3 linked regions of the Drosophila melanogaster genome follow. The protein of the gene in region 1 purifies or fractionates together with the protein of each later gene. This does not show direct contact. Each region holds a gene or a part of one and is shown in the gene's direction. Other genes may lie near its edges.

Region 1 (5,305 bases):
CCAGTTACGCAACGACCAGGTGACCGAAGGCGATTGCCGGGCGGAGGTGCTCCGGAACGCCAAGGTGACGGACGAGGACTACTTCGTTTCGCCGCCGGGCAACATTCCGCTGGAGCAATGAGTCGCATACAACGATGCTTTAAGTCCCTGGCTTCCGCTGGCTTCTTTCGCACCGTGGAAGACAATAAACTGGAGCTACTGAGTCATGGAAGGGAATACGCCAAACTGTTGCAACAGCATTGGACACGACTACGTCCCTTGGCTGCGCACCTGGGCGCCACGAAAGAACCCATAAATCCAGTCAACATCCAGCGTTTTTCCTTTCCACAAAGCCAGCAATTCCGTAACAATTTCCAAAAACTCGTCAAAGATCATCCTCGAAAGGCCAAATGTCCCACTCTTCTGAAACATCAAAGCACTTGTTCTGGTCCCACTAGCAATTCCCTATTTGGGATAAAGGGTCCTACGCTACATTTAACCACGGACTTCCTAGTGGAACCACATCGCGCACTGGAGCACTTCTACAACATGCAGCGTGAGAGCAAGATCTGGTGGATGCGTCTTTCCTCGAATCCCAGTCGCTACCGCATCGTACCTTGCGATTTGGCTGAGGATCTCAATCCCAACGACTATCAAGCCATCGATATCCGCACGAGCTACGGTGATGCAGGAGAAGTGACCGTGGAGCAACTGAGCCTGGTGAGAATAGTGGACGACAAAGACTTCCGGCTGCCCGATGCGCGAACGGGTGAAATTGTGCAACCGACTGTCATAAGGTCTGTGATAGAGCTGGAAACTACCACCTGCGGTAAGTGGTCATCATAACTATCTTTGAAAATCTTTCTATATTATTATCCTTTAGCTCTGCTTCTGGATGGCTGTGATCATGGCCGGGACTCGCAATCCCTGCTCTTACACCGCGTTCTGGCGCCATATCAATGTGGAATTGCCTGTGTGGAAAGTGATTCCGAGCTATCTGCTGACTTGTCTGATCTTTGTCAGCATCTGAAACATGTTCTCAACCACGCCGGTCTTAGACTTTCTGAAGGGGATGGAATTCGTACGACGAAGAACGCTTCTCATTTAGCAGAGCACTTGCTGGAAACGGATATGCTCGGCATACCTTATACACTTGTTATAAACGAGCAAACGCTAAGAAACGGACTGATGCAGTTGCGCAGCCGGGACACAAGGCTGGCGGAGACCATACACATAAGCGATGTACCGGACTATTTATTAAATATATTTAAAAACTAAAAAAAACAACCAGGGGCTACATAAAGTCGCAGAGATATTGGCGGACATTAAAGCCCACCACCTTGCCAATCTGCAGGACAAACTCCAAGCCAATGGTGCACTGCAGCCTAGCGGAACCTTCCATTATGTTTTGTTCGCCGGAGACGAAGCTTAGTAGATTGAGGTGCACCAAAGTTGAGATCTGGGAGAGAAGGTTGCAGGTCAGACCGACTTTCTCCTCTAGAATGGCGTAGAAAATGGCCAGCAAACGATCGATGCTAAAGGATTTGGGTCCCAAAGTGGTGGACATTTTCTCCGTGGTCTAAAAGGTATTAAAATAAGCAAATGGAGTCATCGAAAAATTGAATAACCCACCTTGGCTCTGGCGTTGACCGTCTGCATCCGCTTTCGCTGTTTTCCATGGTGCTTGACGAACAATCGCTTGTCCTGCTTGGCGGCATTGTGGCTGGCTAAGAAGGCAGCGATCAACAGAAATTTGGCATAGTAGGGCAGCTCCAGCGACTGCGCCAGCTTGCGAACGCTCTGATCTTCTATGGCGGTGAAATCTTCAACTTCTTCCGCGGGTTTTTCAATTCGCATATAAATCTGGGTTAAGGCGGAACGCAGTGGTCCAGCTATATGCCGCCAAAGCCGGGAGATGTCCGTGGCATCCACAGTGCCGTCGAGTACAGGCTCCAAGTATGTGGACAGACACTTCCTGGCGGTCAGCTGGAGCTCTGGAACATCGCGACAGGCTTTGTAAAAGACGCTCAGAAAGAGATTCAGATAGTTGTTGTAGAAGTCTTCAGTTACGGCTTCCTGGCAAATCTCCAGACGCTTCTTATCCTGGGCGAACTGTTCCAGCAGTTGATTTCGCACCTGCTGAAAGTCAGATCCCAGGATGCGCTGTGTCTCCGCCTTGTTGTACTGCGCCAAGTGCAGGCAGACGATTTCACTAAGTCCGGTCTTGTTGTAGAACTTCTCAAAGGGCAGCTGGGAGAGCAGAATAACGCACAGATTCAGGTTGGTCAGCTCCTGCAGTCGGAGAAGAACGGGCAACACATTGGCATCCATGTCGCGCAGCCTTTCCGCGTTATCCACGGCTATGAGAAATCCCTGATCCTCCACGCGTGTAGCGGCCTGCCGACGCAGCTGCTCCACAAAGTCCAGCATGTTGTCGACCTTCAGCGCATCACCTTGATCGGGTGCCAGCGAGTCTAACAGGATCTCCAGCATTATCTTGGTGGTGTAGCATTCGATGGCATTTAAATGCGCTGTGCGGACATTTTGCCGTTTTCCACATTCTTTGAGGAAAGCTCTGGTCAGAGCTGTTTTGCCGGTTCCACTGTGTCCGAATAGGTAAATTGCCGAGGGATATGTCTCACTCGAATCTCCTATCAGCTCGCCCAGCGTTTCAATGGCCGCCTCCCGACAGGGAAACAGCGGCTCCAAGGAGGAGCAGATGGCTTCCATAGCTGTCGTCTGCTTTTAAGTTTCCTCAGCTACCCACAGGCGAAGTGGTGTTATTTAAACGGGCTTTCAAAAGGGAAAATACTTCCTCGGTTTATAAAATAACAAAAATAAATTACGAGCCAGCCAGTTATTAAAAATTTGTTTACAAGAAATGGTTTCTGTTTAGTGTGACCATTGAAATGGCGCCAAATTATTCCCTCTGGTATATACCGAACGTGCGTAACAGCACTGGTACCTTAGCATTTTTCAAACAATCGAAAAATATCGATATAACGAAATAACGATAGTATTGAGGGCCATCGATTTTTGTTCCAGCTCTAATTTCGGGTGATTAATTTTGTGCATTACTTTTCCAAAGAGTTTTTTCCACAACGCTCTACTCTTCCGGCCCAGGCAAAGCCAGAATCCATCCCAGCAACGCCAGCTTAATCGTGTTGACGGCCCAGAGTCCGCGATTAAAACGAGAGCGAAGCTAAAATCCAGCGGAAACAACGCCCAATTGCTACACAGCGATATCCAAAATCCGAAAATCCGGCGAACCGAACCGAAGAAACTACGCGTGTGGTTGGATTTGGACGAGCGAACACTGCACATTCCGAGCGCATTTAGCCACCCACGATGGCCGAGACATACACCTTTGGCACCTCGCTGGCCTCCATCACCTGCCACGCATGGAACAAGGATCGAACCCGTAAGTGCGACCCAAATTACTCATCCGGCACAGTGTGACTCACCACCACCCACTCCCAAAAATTCGCAGAGATTGCCTTATCGCCCAACAACCATGAGATCCACATATACAGCCGGGAGGGCAGCGACTGGAAGCTGGCGGACGTGCTCAACCAGCACGATCTGCGCGTCATGGGCATCGACTGGGCCAAGAACACCAATCGGATTGTGAGCTGTGCCGCCGACCGTAATGCCTATGTGTGGACGCAGGGCGACGATGGCAAGTGGAAGCCGGCGTTGGTGCTGCTGCGCATCAATCGGGCGGCAACCTGCGTCAAGTGGTCGCCGGCGGAGAACAAGTTCGCTGTGGGTTCGGGCGCCCGACTCATATCCGTGTGCTATTTCGAGTCGGAGAACGACTGGTGGGTGTCGAAGCACATCAAGAAGCCGATCCGCTCTACGGTCACTTCGCTGGACTGGCATCCGAACAACGTTCTGCTGCTGGCCGGCTCCACGGACTACAAGGTGCGCGTTTTCTCGGCCTTCATCAAGGACATCGAGGAGCCACCGACGCCGACGCCGTGGGGCAATCGCAAGCCCCTTGGCCAGCTAATGGCCGAGTTCCGCAACTCGCAGACCTCGGGTGGCGGCTGGATTAACAGCGTGAGCTTCTCCAGCGACGGTAACAAGGTCTGCTGGGTGGGCCACGACAGCTGCGTGAGCATCGCGGACGCTACCAATGGCAATACGGTCATTCGATGCCGCACCGGCTATCTGCCCTTCCTGTCATGCGAATGGGTCTCGCCCACGTCCGTCGTGGTGGCCGGCTATAGCTGTGTGCCACTGCTCTACAGTCTGACTGCCGATGGAAAGCTGGTGCTGAGCGGCAAGCTCGATAAGTCGCAGAAGAAGGAGTCGAGCGGCATTACCGCCATGAGAATCTTTCAGTCGATGGACCGCAACATGCGCACGGAGAACACGGACACGGTGGTCGATTCCATACATCAGAACGCCATCACCAGCGTGCGACTGTATGCCGGCGACAAGGCGAGCGCCACCAAGGTGTCCACCTCGGGCGTCGACGGGCAGCTGGTCATTTGGAATGTGGAGCAGGGCGGCATCAATGGCGGCATGCGCAACCTGCAGATCTAGTGCGGCCCGGAACGGACCAGCGTTACGTGTTATTGTCTGTTAGCGAGTGTGTTGGCCTGGCCAGGAGCGAAGTATTTGCCAAAATGTTTTCCAAAATCGCTTTTCCCATTGTTCTGTACCGTGCGAAAGCCTTTTTACATAAATTAACCGAAGAGATTGTTCTTTCCCCCCCCCCCCCCCCACCAACTTCCATAATGGTTCCGAAAGTGTGTGTGTGTTTTAAAGTGTTTCACCTTTATAGCAAACTGAATAAAATGTTTTTTATTCGTAAAATCAAATGTTAAGTGTTTGTTTTTTAATAATTAATCGTTTCAAGCAGCAAGAAATTTGATTTGTTGGAATTTTTTGAAAATGTTTTATATTTATTTATTATTAATTTAACGGAAATAAATTTGAATTAAATCAATGTGACCGCCGCGCAAGCGCACAAAAATACCTAGGCTGGCGGCAATCTTACGGAGGAGTGTGTGGTCGCAGGTTGGACTTCAGTTGCCTTAAAGGATGTTTCCTTTATTAAAACGAGGATGCAGTTCCACCTGATCAGAAAGTACGCCAGCAAAGTTAGCCGGGAGCACTACGCCAGCAGTAGCGTGAAGATCTTTCGGCGGGTCAAGCCTCCGCAAAAGGTAAACAAACCAAAGAAGCCGGAGAATGTGGAGAATGGCCCAACGGAATATGCGGAAAATCTGGTCAAGGTGCAGATGATCTCGCGGAATTTGCACGCCCAACTGTTCCCACAAGCGCCGCGAAGCATTTCGGAGCAGCAGGTGGCCTC
Region 2 (4,557 bases), 7.7 Mb from region 1:
GTCTATAGCATGGCCAAAAGTTTTCATTAAATCTAGTTTATGATTAGATGTATGTAATTATAATATTCAATACCCAAGATCCCATAAGTCTCAACAATTACTTTATAAACATTACATTAACTTACATTCATTGCTGGAATATAAAATTGAAATGACACATCATTTTGACTGGACTAGCAAACTGGTTAACATTTAGTTAGTCATTGAGTGTACGAACTATAAATAAGTTATCATGCGTTCATATAATTTTGGTTTTTCATTTCTCTTATATCCTCTCATTTAGAACACAATCAAAATTGCCGAAATCAAATCGCAGAACGATCAATTGGAATGTCAAAAGATCGAGGAGAAAGCGCGCATTTATGAGAACAAATTGTTCGCCGCCGAGCAGAAACGCGAAAAGGAATTGCAAAAAAAAATTGAAAAAGTTCAAAAACTCGTACGTGTTGTTCCCCCCCACTGAAAGCGACAATTTGCCCTATTGTTTGAGTAGCACTTGGCAGTAGTTGCACATCTCCATTCGCAAACGAATATTAATCCTTGATTGCTTTCCTTTCTTTCAGGAACGTCGCGCTGAGCTCGTGCGCCAGAACAAGGCCCAGGCCCAGGATTTGGATGGTCAGCAGAGCGCCATTGCCTCCTCAGGCTAAGTGGAGAACGATCCTGCATCGAGAGCTGTGCTCACCCACTGCAAACATGGTTACAAGGCGACTACAAAAAGAACAGCAACACTGCATAATACACCAACACATATTTAAGCAAGAAAACCCTTAAAACTGAAAACGATTTCTCAAAATTTCCAAGTATTATGAAAGCAAACGAAGCGAAGGGCAAGGGCAAAGTCTCAAGATACCGCTGAGCGAGTTTTCTCACGAGCTCTATAATGAAACACGAATAAGCTACTATAAAGCGAAAAGAAATGAATGCTTACGGCAAGTTAATGCAAAAAAAAAATTAGTAAAGGAAATCTACATTTAAACTTAAAAGCCCAGGCAGAAAAGCCTATGCAAGTTGAATGCATGCCTGTCATTTAAAATTTCAAATTCTTTTAAAAGTTCACGTTGATTTCAGTTGAAAGTTTAAAACACTTTTTACCTTGAGTTCCAAGAATGTTATATTCGTTTTGGATTCATTATTTTCAAAGTCTTAGTCTTGAATGTTCAAGTTTTTTTTTTTTTTTAATTACTGTGGCATCGACTGAGGTATTCTCAAAATAATAAGCACGCTGTATTTGCATCTATGAATGGCTTTCGCGAGTAAAAATTTGAAAATGTTTTTAATTAAGTTAATGTATACTTTAGTGGTAATTTTAATTTACTAACTTGCAACAACATGATACATATACATGCTGAATATAGTTTTACACTAACAAATAATTTGTTCTTATAAGTTTCGCATTTTCTATCTATAAAATAAATGTCTAACAGAAAAAATACATAAGAAATGCTTATACAATTCAATAAAATCAAATACCATGTAAAACACACGAAACGCATTTTTCCTTTATTTACATACAACACAAACACTAAAAACGCTGATATAGACATTAATATAAATGGAAGGAAACTACGTATAAGCATACATTAATGTGTGTAATATTATATGGAAATGCATATTTTGTCTAACGTCGGGTTATTTTTAGAAATGGGTTTAAGAGGAGAGTGAATGTGGGGGTTATAATAAAAAAAAAAAAAAGTATTTAGGGCAAACCAAATGGAATATTTAGGAAAATTTTTTCCAAAAACCTGCGAGTTATTTTTAATTTTGCACCAAAGGGCGCTTTAAAGATTAGCTTAAATTTAAATCTTATATCGTTATATATGTATGTGTACTCGTGTAAACCTATGGCTTCTACAAATGAATATCAATAACATAAATCTCTTAATAAAAATGTGCATTGGCAAAACAATTTAACACGCACAGGACACCAAATTACCCAGACACGAAAACTTTCAAGCATACTCAAGAAAAAACGAACAAAATATAAACGCAAAGCATAAAATGCTTTGATATTTACTCAATTTATGATATATTAATGTCTAATCCAATGCAATAATCAGCCGAAACATTTTTTGAGTATTGAGAGTAGGAAAGGGTTACAATTTTGAACGATTGATTAAAATACTCACTTTCTAGGTTCACGCATAATTTAAGTTCATATAAGCCACAAATAACTGACCATATGCGAGCAAAAATACTTATAACAATTGTATAATAAAAGTGCATTAAACAAATAAATGCAATATTTATAATTGGTGGATGCTGTTTTCTTCTAAATTAACATTTTTCCTCTTTGCTGGTGTGTTGGGTTTTCGGACTTTAATATGGTACACATATATTTGATATTTCCATTTCAAATTTTAACGCTTCTAGCCATATACATTTTTCTTAAATTTTTAAAATTTAGGTATGATTTAAATTGTTTCACTCCTAAAAATTCCACAAAGATAAGATACAAATGGAAATGGAACAGTGGTTGTGGTCTCGGGTAAGTTCTTGATAGTCAAGTTTCTTACCATCTTAACACAGGACATCATAAGAAATGTTTTAAGTGCGATTTGATAAATGTTTAAAAACAACATGTTTAATATTGATTGTATAAACTTTATGCATAGTCTTCCCAAACATATAATAGAAACTGTTTCATAACAAATTCCAAATAGTTGCTATGTTTTTGCGGCCCCACCTCGGCATTGGTATTTTCCTGCCAGCCGCGCATGGTCACATCTTTTCTGGTTGATAAATTCCAGGGCCTGTGAATCATAATAAGTTAAGTAAAAAGTGCAGATACAACAAACCGCAGGCAGCAGACAACAACCCGACACCCAGACACAATGGCAGCCACATTGAAGCCCTACCTGACCGCCGTGCGACACTCGCTGACGGCGGCGATGTGCCTGCAGGACTTCCCCTCGCAGGTGGTGGAGCGGCACAACAAGCCGGAGGTGGAGATCTGTTCCAGCAAGGAGCTGGTGCTCACGCCCGTCGTCGTGTCGCGCAACGAGCGGGAGAAGGTGCTGATCGAGCCGTCCATTAACTCGGTGCGCGTGAGCATCGCCGTGAAGCAGGCCGACGAGATTGAGCGCATACTGTGCCACAAGTTCACCAGGTTCATGATGCGACGCGCCGAGTCGTTCGTCATACTGCGCCGCAAGCCCATCGAGGGCTACGACATAAGCTTCCTCATCACCAACTTCCACACGGAGCAGATGTATAAGCACAAACTGGTGGACTTTGTCATTAGCTTCATGGAGGAGATCGACAAGGAGATCAGCGAAATGAAACTGGCGGTCAATGCCAGGGCACGCACCTGCGCCGAGGAGTTCCTCAAACGGTTCTAGGTAAGTGTTCCACCTAACAGCCATCGCCATTGAGTCGACGCCAACTTACTCTCGCAAATCCTTTGCAGGTGAAGGCAACCAGTATGGACCCGGTCATGATGCTTTAGTATTTCCAAATGGATTCAAGAATAAAGACGGATTTTGTATTATTTACTCGACTACACCAGTTTTATATGCTATCCCGTTTGGCCGCACCACCACATGACCACTGCGTTCTCGTAGAGAACTTCCTTCTGATTTTGATTCACATCGGCCGGCGCCGGCAACTCCGTCGTTTCCGTTCCGTTTAAGGTCACGTTGTCCCCTTGGGCACTTTGGTCTGTAAAGTGGAACTGCCCCGAGCTGGTGGCTAGAATCGGCATAGCCGGATTGAGTGCCACTCCGTTGCAGCAGTCTGAATGCAGGGGCAGTACGGAAGGATCTCCGTATTTTTTGAGATCCCAAACATTGACGAATCCCCGTGTGTCACCGCTAGCCAGCCAATTGCTGTCGGATGCGAGGTCGAATTGAATACGCTGATTGGTGTCCACATGGCGCTGCAACTCCACCAGTGGCTGCTTGTAGTTGCGCATGTCCCACTGCAAGATCTTATCGCACTTGCGAGCTCCACTGAACAGATGCCACTCCCCGTTGCCAAACTCTCCATAGCGCAGTTGTGTGATGCCGCCCTTGTGCCCTCCCAGCGTGAAGAGAGGACCCTGCTTGTGGCTACACCGCAAGTCAAAGTGCTGGATGTAGCCATGCCAGTTGCCGCAGGTTAGAGTGTGCGGGTGCGCAGTGGTCTGTGCAATGCAGGATATGGCAAACTTGACAGGGTAATCGTCGCAAAAACGTCCGGGTCTACGGAGTAGAGTTTGAGTTGCATTAAATGAGCGTACGAAAATAAGCAGCCGACTCACCTGCTGGTGTCGAAGATCTTGATGCAGCGCTTGTATCCCGCATAGATCTGCTCGCCGTCATGGGAGAAGGCCAAGGAAATGGCCGCCATTACTTCGTCTACGGCATCGTACCCACTGTAGCTGCATCGCAGGGAACCGTCGAAGGCATCCCACATGTGTATGGGTTCGTGCTGCCGCGTGGCCAGCCACCTGCGTGAAATGGGAACGGTATAAGATTGGGGAGAGCGTCAGAGAGTTGTCAACTCACAAGCAGGTTTCTGGTTGCAGGCTGTTCATGTGCGGATACCAGACGCAGTCGTAGACGGTTCCGCCCTCGG
Region 3 (7,182 bases), on another chromosome or scaffold:
TTTGGCCGGAGTCGACCACATAGATGATCCAATCGCAAAGCTCCTCCTCCAAGCGATGGCGAATGGCTGCCATGTCAGAGGTATCATAGGTAAAGCCGCCATCCGATTTCACGATTGTCAGAGGTATGCCAGTTTTCGTATCGTCTGGCCACATGATCTCGCGTCCTTCATCCACTTCCAGCAGACCCTTGCCTCGCAAGTATTCCACAACGGACAGCATACGTGATTGGTAGAACGATTCCCCCCGTTCCTTGACGCTAATATCTAATCGTTCGTAGATCGTTTGGAACTCCTTTCGCGACACATTGCAAATTAGCTCCCACGCCTTAATGGAGTTCGGCACACCTTTCTGCAATGAAACCACTCGACTGTAGGCACGTTTTTTGAACTCCTCATCTTCATCGAATCTGCAAGGAAGTATTATTTACCTCGAGCACATCGTAATTACTTCGTAATGTTACAAGTCTTACCGCTTCTTGGATTCCTTGTAGAACAATTGCAGATCACTGATCGGAGGGCTTTCATTTAGGTAGTTGGGGAAACGATCTTCCAAATGGGCAATCAGCATGCCAAACTGTGTTCCCCAGTCACCCAGGTGGTTGATGCGGATCACATCGTGCTGCAGGAACTCCAGCAAGCGGCATAACGACTCGCCAATGATCGTGGACCGCAAGTGACCGACATGCATCTGTTTGGCAATGTTGGGCGATGAAAAGTCGACCAGGACTCGCTTTTTGATCACTTCTGGCGGCTTGACACCGTTACGCAATAGATTGCTTAAGGCTAAAGATGCATAATCTCTGCAAAAATTAACATTTTTAATGTTTATAATGGACTTTGTGTACTTATGCCACTCACTTGCTAAGGAACACGTTTACGAAGCCAGCTCCGGCAATTTCCAGCTTTTCAATGATTGGTGATGCTGGGCAGTGTCCTTTCAACTCGGTTGCAATATCACGTGGTGCTTTATTAATGCCCTTCTCTTTCAGCTTCTTGGACAATCCCATGGCATTGTTGCACTGATAGTCGCCGAATTTCGCAGACGTACTATTAACTGGTGCAATTATAACAGGCGTATCTCTGAATTCCGGGAAAGCTGATGCAATCGCCTGGCGAAAGACGCTTTCCAGGTGTTCGGTGATCGAAGAGGATTCCTTGGGCTTCGAAACGTCGCCGCCGGCGGCAGTTGATTCCTCAGCAATGGACTAACAGGGAAATAAAAGACATGAAATTCTTAAGCTTAAACACATTGGGGGTCATAAACTCACCTTCTTTAGGATAAACAGGCGGTTCTTCAGCTTCTTATTTTCAATTTGAAGCTGAACAAGATCGACGTCCAACTGTTCACCGCTTTTGGCAGTTTGTATTCTGGCGGCAAGGCCTTGGGTCTTCAGTTCCTTTAAAGCCGGCATGTCATGTCAAAATGTTGGCGTAAAGTAACAGCTATTCGCTTACCAGCTCCCTGAGTTTTTTCAGCTCCATATTTAGCTCGGACATGTTTCCAAATTGTGACTTCTGTTGCTCCGCTGATTAATAACAACAACACAACGATGCCACATGGATGGCAAGTAGTGTGCACACGTCGCCTATCGATAACGATAACAGCTGGTGATGTCACGCCTCACAGTCACTTCTAGGATGTCGTTTTTCCCACTGGCATTTAAAAGATTTTCTCATTTGACAGTTAAACTATGCAACAGACAAATTGTATTGTGTGTGCATTTTAAAATCACCTCTAAAATTGTAGATGTCGGTATGTATGGCAGGCTTTTTATGGCACATTTGAGAGCATTGCTTAGATAAATGTCAGCTGTGTGCGGTGGAAAAATCGCATCGGGTTCACATAGCACTTATGATTTTTATCGATAGATCGACTTATCGACCACCTCTATTATGATTAATTGTGATTGTTCTTTCGCTTAAGGTGTCTCTTAAAACTTTTTATGTGTATGTGTGTTTAATTAATTTATAGATTTTGTCACCTTTGTGTAAATACCTATAGTCTAGTGGGGCCGCAACCTAAACTCTTTGATGTGTGCTACACACAGTCCCCGAAAGATACGTGCGTGAAAACTTGGGAAAACAGATGTGTGTAACGCCGCTCCCATTAAAATTAAAACTGCAATGCAGACGGTTTTTTTTTGTTTTACAAATATAAATAGTGGATAAAAACATATTCACCGGGAACGACGGACGGATACATCCTATTTATAAACAGGAGATAAACTAGTTTTCTTGCATCTGTGCCACCAAATTGCCAAGTGTCGATGGGGAATTTGTAAAAGTTAAAAAAGAAAAAACCATTATGCAGCGCAATGCAAAAAAAAAGTTTACTTTATTTTCATCATCTGATACGCATTTTATCTGCATGTTCGCTTGCTTGGTGACAATGGGACTATATATTCACCGGTTTTTATATAAGTGAGTCAGCTCTGCTAGATAACAAAGTGCGTTCCGATGATAAGGTATCCATTATCATACCACACACGATCATCAATTAGGACATTCCAAAATGTTTACCAATATAGGAGGTTTCAACGAGCTGGACACCGAAAGAGCAGCACCAGAAATGCTGTCTCTGCAATTATTATATTTATTTATAAGTTAGTGGCTGAATTCAATGGACTTTTCTTTGGAATTATCGCAATATGATCCTTGTTATCACTTTCAATGGGTTCAAATCGAAACTGAATTCTTAGTGCATTCTTATAGACTTGAAACTAACAAGTTGCTTCTTTTTAGCGTGCGATCGCTTGCGATTAATATATAAAATATAGTTAAATTGAGCACAGATTCAATGGAAAGTATCAGCACCACAGGTCGGCGACGGAACAACATGCGAATCAATGCCGAAGACAATGCGCTGGATCAAATTACGAAAGAGGTGTGTATTTTACATCCCAAAACATAGCATTCAATGTAAATATTAAAATTGTTACTATCAACTGCGATTTGTACGTGCTCGGTTAACACAAGAGAATTACAGCCGCAAAGGGTCGCATAATTGAAACTCTATCAATTAGTTGATTTAAATGAAACTGATTCCCTTCTTTTCAGGCGGAAGCGCGACTTGCTGCGCGTCGACAGGCGCGCGCCGAAGCCCGCGAGATTCGCATGAGGGAGCTGGAGCGGCAGCAGAAAGAGCAGGAGATCACCGCCGACCGGGTCTTCGACATGCAAAACTCCACGGCAGTGGGCAGCGAAACTCTGTCGGCGCATCCCGTGCGCCTCGCCTACGGCGGACTGTTAAACGTGACCCGTGCATCAGCATCCCGCCGCAGCAGTGAGGACTCCGTGGAGGAGGAGGGCAGAAGTTTTCGCGACTTCAAGCACGAGCTTAAGGTGGGTGCTGACATCGCAGCCATCACTTCGATGTGATTTAAGTGGTTCTGCTTTCAGGATGTTGAGGAGCGGTTTCGCAAAGCCATGATAACGAACGCCCAGTTGGACAACGATCGCGCCTCGCAGGCCTACGAAGTCAAGCTACTGAAGGACAAATGCGAAATAATGGAAGAGTCGTATGCACAACTACAGCGCGAGTTCAAGGAGAAGATGCGTGACTGCAATGCCCTCAAACGCAACCTGGATCGCGCCAATCTCGAGCTTAAGCTAGTACAAGGGCAGTTAAACGAGCGCGACTCGTTGATCGCCGAACAGGGCCTTCTAATTGTAGCAGTTGAAAATGCCGATGGCAGCGATGCCAAGCGAGCTCTAGTGAGTGTCGAGAATGCCAAGGTGCTGGCCTCCGTGCAGGGTTCTTTAGGTGATTATCCCCCATTTGCACCTGGATGAGATCATTTAACAACAGTTCGAGTTCTTTGCAGACGTTAGACTTAAAAAGTTCAGTGACGAGAAGCAGCGGCTGCTGGCGGAGGTGCAGAAGCTTCACGAACAACTTGACGAGTATAAAAGTGATGGAATTTCCGGACGCCGCAGTCTTTCGCAAGGTTCCTTCGGCGATGAGAATGATTACGAGGCCCAACGTACGTGTACCATACTTACTTAATGCCAACTAAACTTTCAGCATGTAAAGTGCACCGCAGTGATTATCTTTTTTATAACTAGCAGCCCTTTTTGGCAGCACACAATAACTAACCGAGTCTTGCTCAAATTTGAACGATATTCAAATCGTATTATTTGTAGTTTTTATTATTTGATAACATGGCTTCAAGCAATATATATATATATATATATCATTTATATTTCCGATCGCATTGATCGGCCACATTCTCTCGCACTTTTGTGTATCTCCATATATCTTCAGTTTTTTAAAACAATAAATTGTATATAACTATTGCAGTTTGGCACTATAGGACTGCAACATATTTGTACTATATTACGAGCCCTTCCTTTTTCTTATACTATCCGACAGGGGAAACAAACAAAATCATTTCAGACCATAAATATAAGCTGCAAAAGGCGGAACAGGAAATCGCCAACCTACAGTCGAGCCTAGCGCGCTCCGAAACTCAAGTAATCCGATACAAAAGCACCGCAGAAGCTGCCGAAAAGGCGGAGGCTGAGCTGAAGCTGGAGCGCCGCAAGCTGCAACGCGAGGTGAGTGGTGGGAATGCCAAGCGAAATGAGCAGTTTATGATCTAGCTAATCCATTTCGCAGCACCGGGAACTCTTGGAGAAGTTGGAGGAAGCTGAAACGTCCAACAACCATTTGTTGAAACGCCTCGATAAGTTGAAAAACGCAAAGAGTGCCATTCTAAAGGACTTATGATCTAAGATGGGAAATGCAATCTCGCCAACCATTGAAGGATCGCACCCGATGACATAGGAAACGCAAGTACACGACATCATCAACACACAAATCAACATGCTGCAATTGAAATAGCACTTCGGTAGCAATTTAATCGGTCTTAGTGGTAGCAAATCGATAATTTTTGAAGGATAATCCAAAATACTCTACCTTAAAAATATATATATATATATATTTAAATTAAAATATAAACTAACTGGATAATAATTAACATAAATAATGTCTATATGTGTATATTTAAAGCGCAAAATATAAGTAACAATTCAATTGGTTCAGCATTATGTGTATAAAATCATTCTATACAAATATGCGTTGACAAAATTATAGCAAGAAACCTATCACTGATCCCAATTAAAAGGCTTCTGGTGAACCTGACCAATAGTTCTTTTCAAAATTACAATATTCTATTGAGTCTATATTTAAATCTTTGCTAGAAGTCCGTTTCATCGGTCGCGATCTCTAAACGGAACGCCCAAATAAATGCCACATTTAAGAACAATTAAAATCATCGTGTTTAAATAAATTACATTTATTTAATTTTATTTATTTTTCATGATTTTACAACATTGCAGCTTCGGCGGATCTTAGTTGTTGCGAATCATTCTCGAGTGGCCACTGAAAAGCATCTAGGATTCCGATTGGGTTTGACGCTCTGCGGACAGAAAAATGGCAATAATCAGCATTTGCTTTGGATAATAGTTTTTCATCACAAAGAAATAGTTAATAGTTGGTCGCTTGTAAACTTTTGGGGCGGGCAATTTTGGGATATATATATGTATATTAATATAAACATTATATTATATGTAAACACATCGCATTTGCATGCAGATCAGCTTGTAAGCGTAGTTAGAAACTTTGGGAACAAAGTTAGATACATAAACTGTCGTTGAGTTTAATGCGAACGCTGGGATAATTTGGGTTTTGTCTGCCGCGGCAGGCACTTACGCCAGTTTTTAAATTATTAATTTGACGATGGAACACCTAAGCCCTTTCATCTGAAAAATATATTCAAATATGACGCAATATGAAACATAAATTCTATTACTTTATGGAGCGTTTGTCTTGAAGGAATGGTAAGCAATTTTGCCTAATTTTGTTTCGATATTCCAATAAGTTACGAAAATTTTGAAATTAAAGTTTTAGAAATGGTTTGGATGAGTATGAACGCTTCAATGTTGATGATCAGGATTTAAACAGATTGCAAATATATATGATATATGCAATAATATACGAATATCTATAGATGGGAACAGTTTTTACACGCGATATTACGCCTGTAAATTGGCAACATTTTCGGAGTAAAGTGGGAACACGAGTGAACCGTTCATTTTTCGGTATTTTTCACATTGCCATTTCGAAACGGGGCTTTTTTCCGAAACTTTTGGGTAGAATACCGTGTGGAAACCACTTGTGGATGACTTCGAAACATTCCTAATAACACATTGATAACGGTTTCCCCTTGGATTTCGAATTATCCGGAGTTAATTTATATAATGGCTGCTATTTGGCCGTCTAAAGTATTATGATACGTACGAGCTGGCTTGCCATTTGCCCAGGGAGTGAACTTCACATGGCTCGCGTCGCGCTTGGCGGCATCCGCACGCAGTCCCGTCTTCAAGGACTCGCGCAAAATGCGAGCGGCGATGTTGGAGTATTGGATGTAGCTGCAATCGGTAATATTTGGATTAATTATGTTATGTAATCGGGCAGCAAAGGCGTTTTTATTTGCATGAGAATGCTGCCACAACACAGCTGGTGTGGCAGGCACTTATACAATGCTTACGTAATTCCGGCAGCTCTCCAGGCAGTCATTGTGATCGGTTTATTCGAAATATATTCACGCTACACAAAAAATATATAAGATATTCCCTTTCTGAATCCGGTCAGTGTGGCCAACTAGTTTTTGAGAGTTAAGTCAGAAATATACCGTCGATTGTCGCACATATACCTTAAATACTAGCTTACGCGCGTCAAGATAGCGACGACGACTGTGACTTCTGTTATTGAACATACACACTGTTAGTAACATTTGTTATCGATATCCAAACTCAAACTTTTCAATATTTAAAAATCTAATTTACTTATTTTTCTTCCTTTGGGAAAAACCCTAATAAATATGGATATGCCAAACTGTTTTATTCGAAAGAACGAAGCTTGTTACTTATTCATGCCTACACAAATAATTAAGCAGACATTGTTTAACGTGCCTTGCATAAAGCATTTCAAGAAAAATTGTTACATTAAACCATCAACTTAAAAAAAATATTCCCCAATTTTCCTTGAAATTTGTTTTTAGTTCTAGGCTAATTAATCAAATAACCACCAATGCACCCAAAATAGGATAAGCTAAGGATATATTAGATTATTTATTTATCATTGACTTTAAGTTAGACTTTACAGATAATATTTTAAAA

What was found.
Region 2: the proteins of Arpc1 (region 1) and Arpc4 purify together in Drosophila melanogaster (affinity purification with mass spectrometry, with the first as the bait; one large-scale study listed by BioGRID). This does not show direct contact.
Region 3: the proteins of Arpc1 (region 1) and CG8578 purify together in Drosophila melanogaster (affinity purification with mass spectrometry, with the first as the bait; one large-scale study listed by BioGRID). This does not show direct contact.

Annotation. Positions count from the first base shown.
Region 1 is NT_033779.5:13,827,441-13,832,745, reverse strand, and holds Arpc1 (Actin-related protein 2/3 complex, subunit 1), read left to right. Parts: upstream 1-3,004; 5' UTR 3,005-3,036; exon of another isoform or gene 3,037-3,102; 5' UTR 3,103-3,327; coding exon 3,328-3,400; intron 3,401-3,469; coding exon 3,470-4,530; 3' UTR 4,531-4,805; downstream 4,806-5,305. Other genes in the region: GatC (Glutamyl-tRNA amidotransferase, subunit C), read left to right, coding at 1-121; PolG2 (DNA polymerase gamma subunit 2), read left to right, coding at 118-808, 863-1,257; Orc5 (origin recognition complex subunit 5), read right to left, coding at 1,274-1,558, 1,612-2,709; PolG1 (DNA polymerase gamma subunit 1), read left to right, coding at 5,055-5,305.
Region 2 is NT_033779.5:6,122,415-6,126,971, forward strand, and holds Arpc4 (Actin-related protein 2/3 complex, subunit 4), read left to right. Parts: upstream 1-2,717; 5' UTR 2,718-2,834; coding exon 2,835-3,341; intron 3,342-3,409; 3' UTR 3,410-3,497; downstream 3,498-4,557. Other genes in the region: stai (stathmin), read left to right, coding at 284-439, 564-650; WDR79 (WD repeat domain 79), read right to left, coding at 3,518-4,181, 4,241-4,429, 4,488-4,557.
Region 3 is NC_004354.4:15,842,585-15,849,766, forward strand, and holds CG8578 (uncharacterized protein), read left to right. Parts: upstream 1-1,891; 5' UTR 1,892-1,947; intron 1,948-2,052; exon of another isoform or gene 2,053-2,088; intron 2,089-2,742; 5' UTR 2,743-2,797; coding exon 2,798-2,884; intron 2,885-3,057; coding exon 3,058-3,342; intron 3,343-3,399; coding exon 3,400-3,763; intron 3,764-3,824; coding exon 3,825-3,983; intron 3,984-4,372; coding exon 4,373-4,557; intron 4,558-4,618; coding exon 4,619-4,729; 3' UTR 4,730-5,274; downstream 5,275-7,182. Other genes in the region: ArgRS (Arginyl-tRNA synthetase), read right to left, coding at 1-407, 471-800, 859-1,205, 1,269-1,397, 1,456-1,497; sun (stunted), read right to left, coding at 5,395-5,420, 6,302-6,432, 6,552-6,580.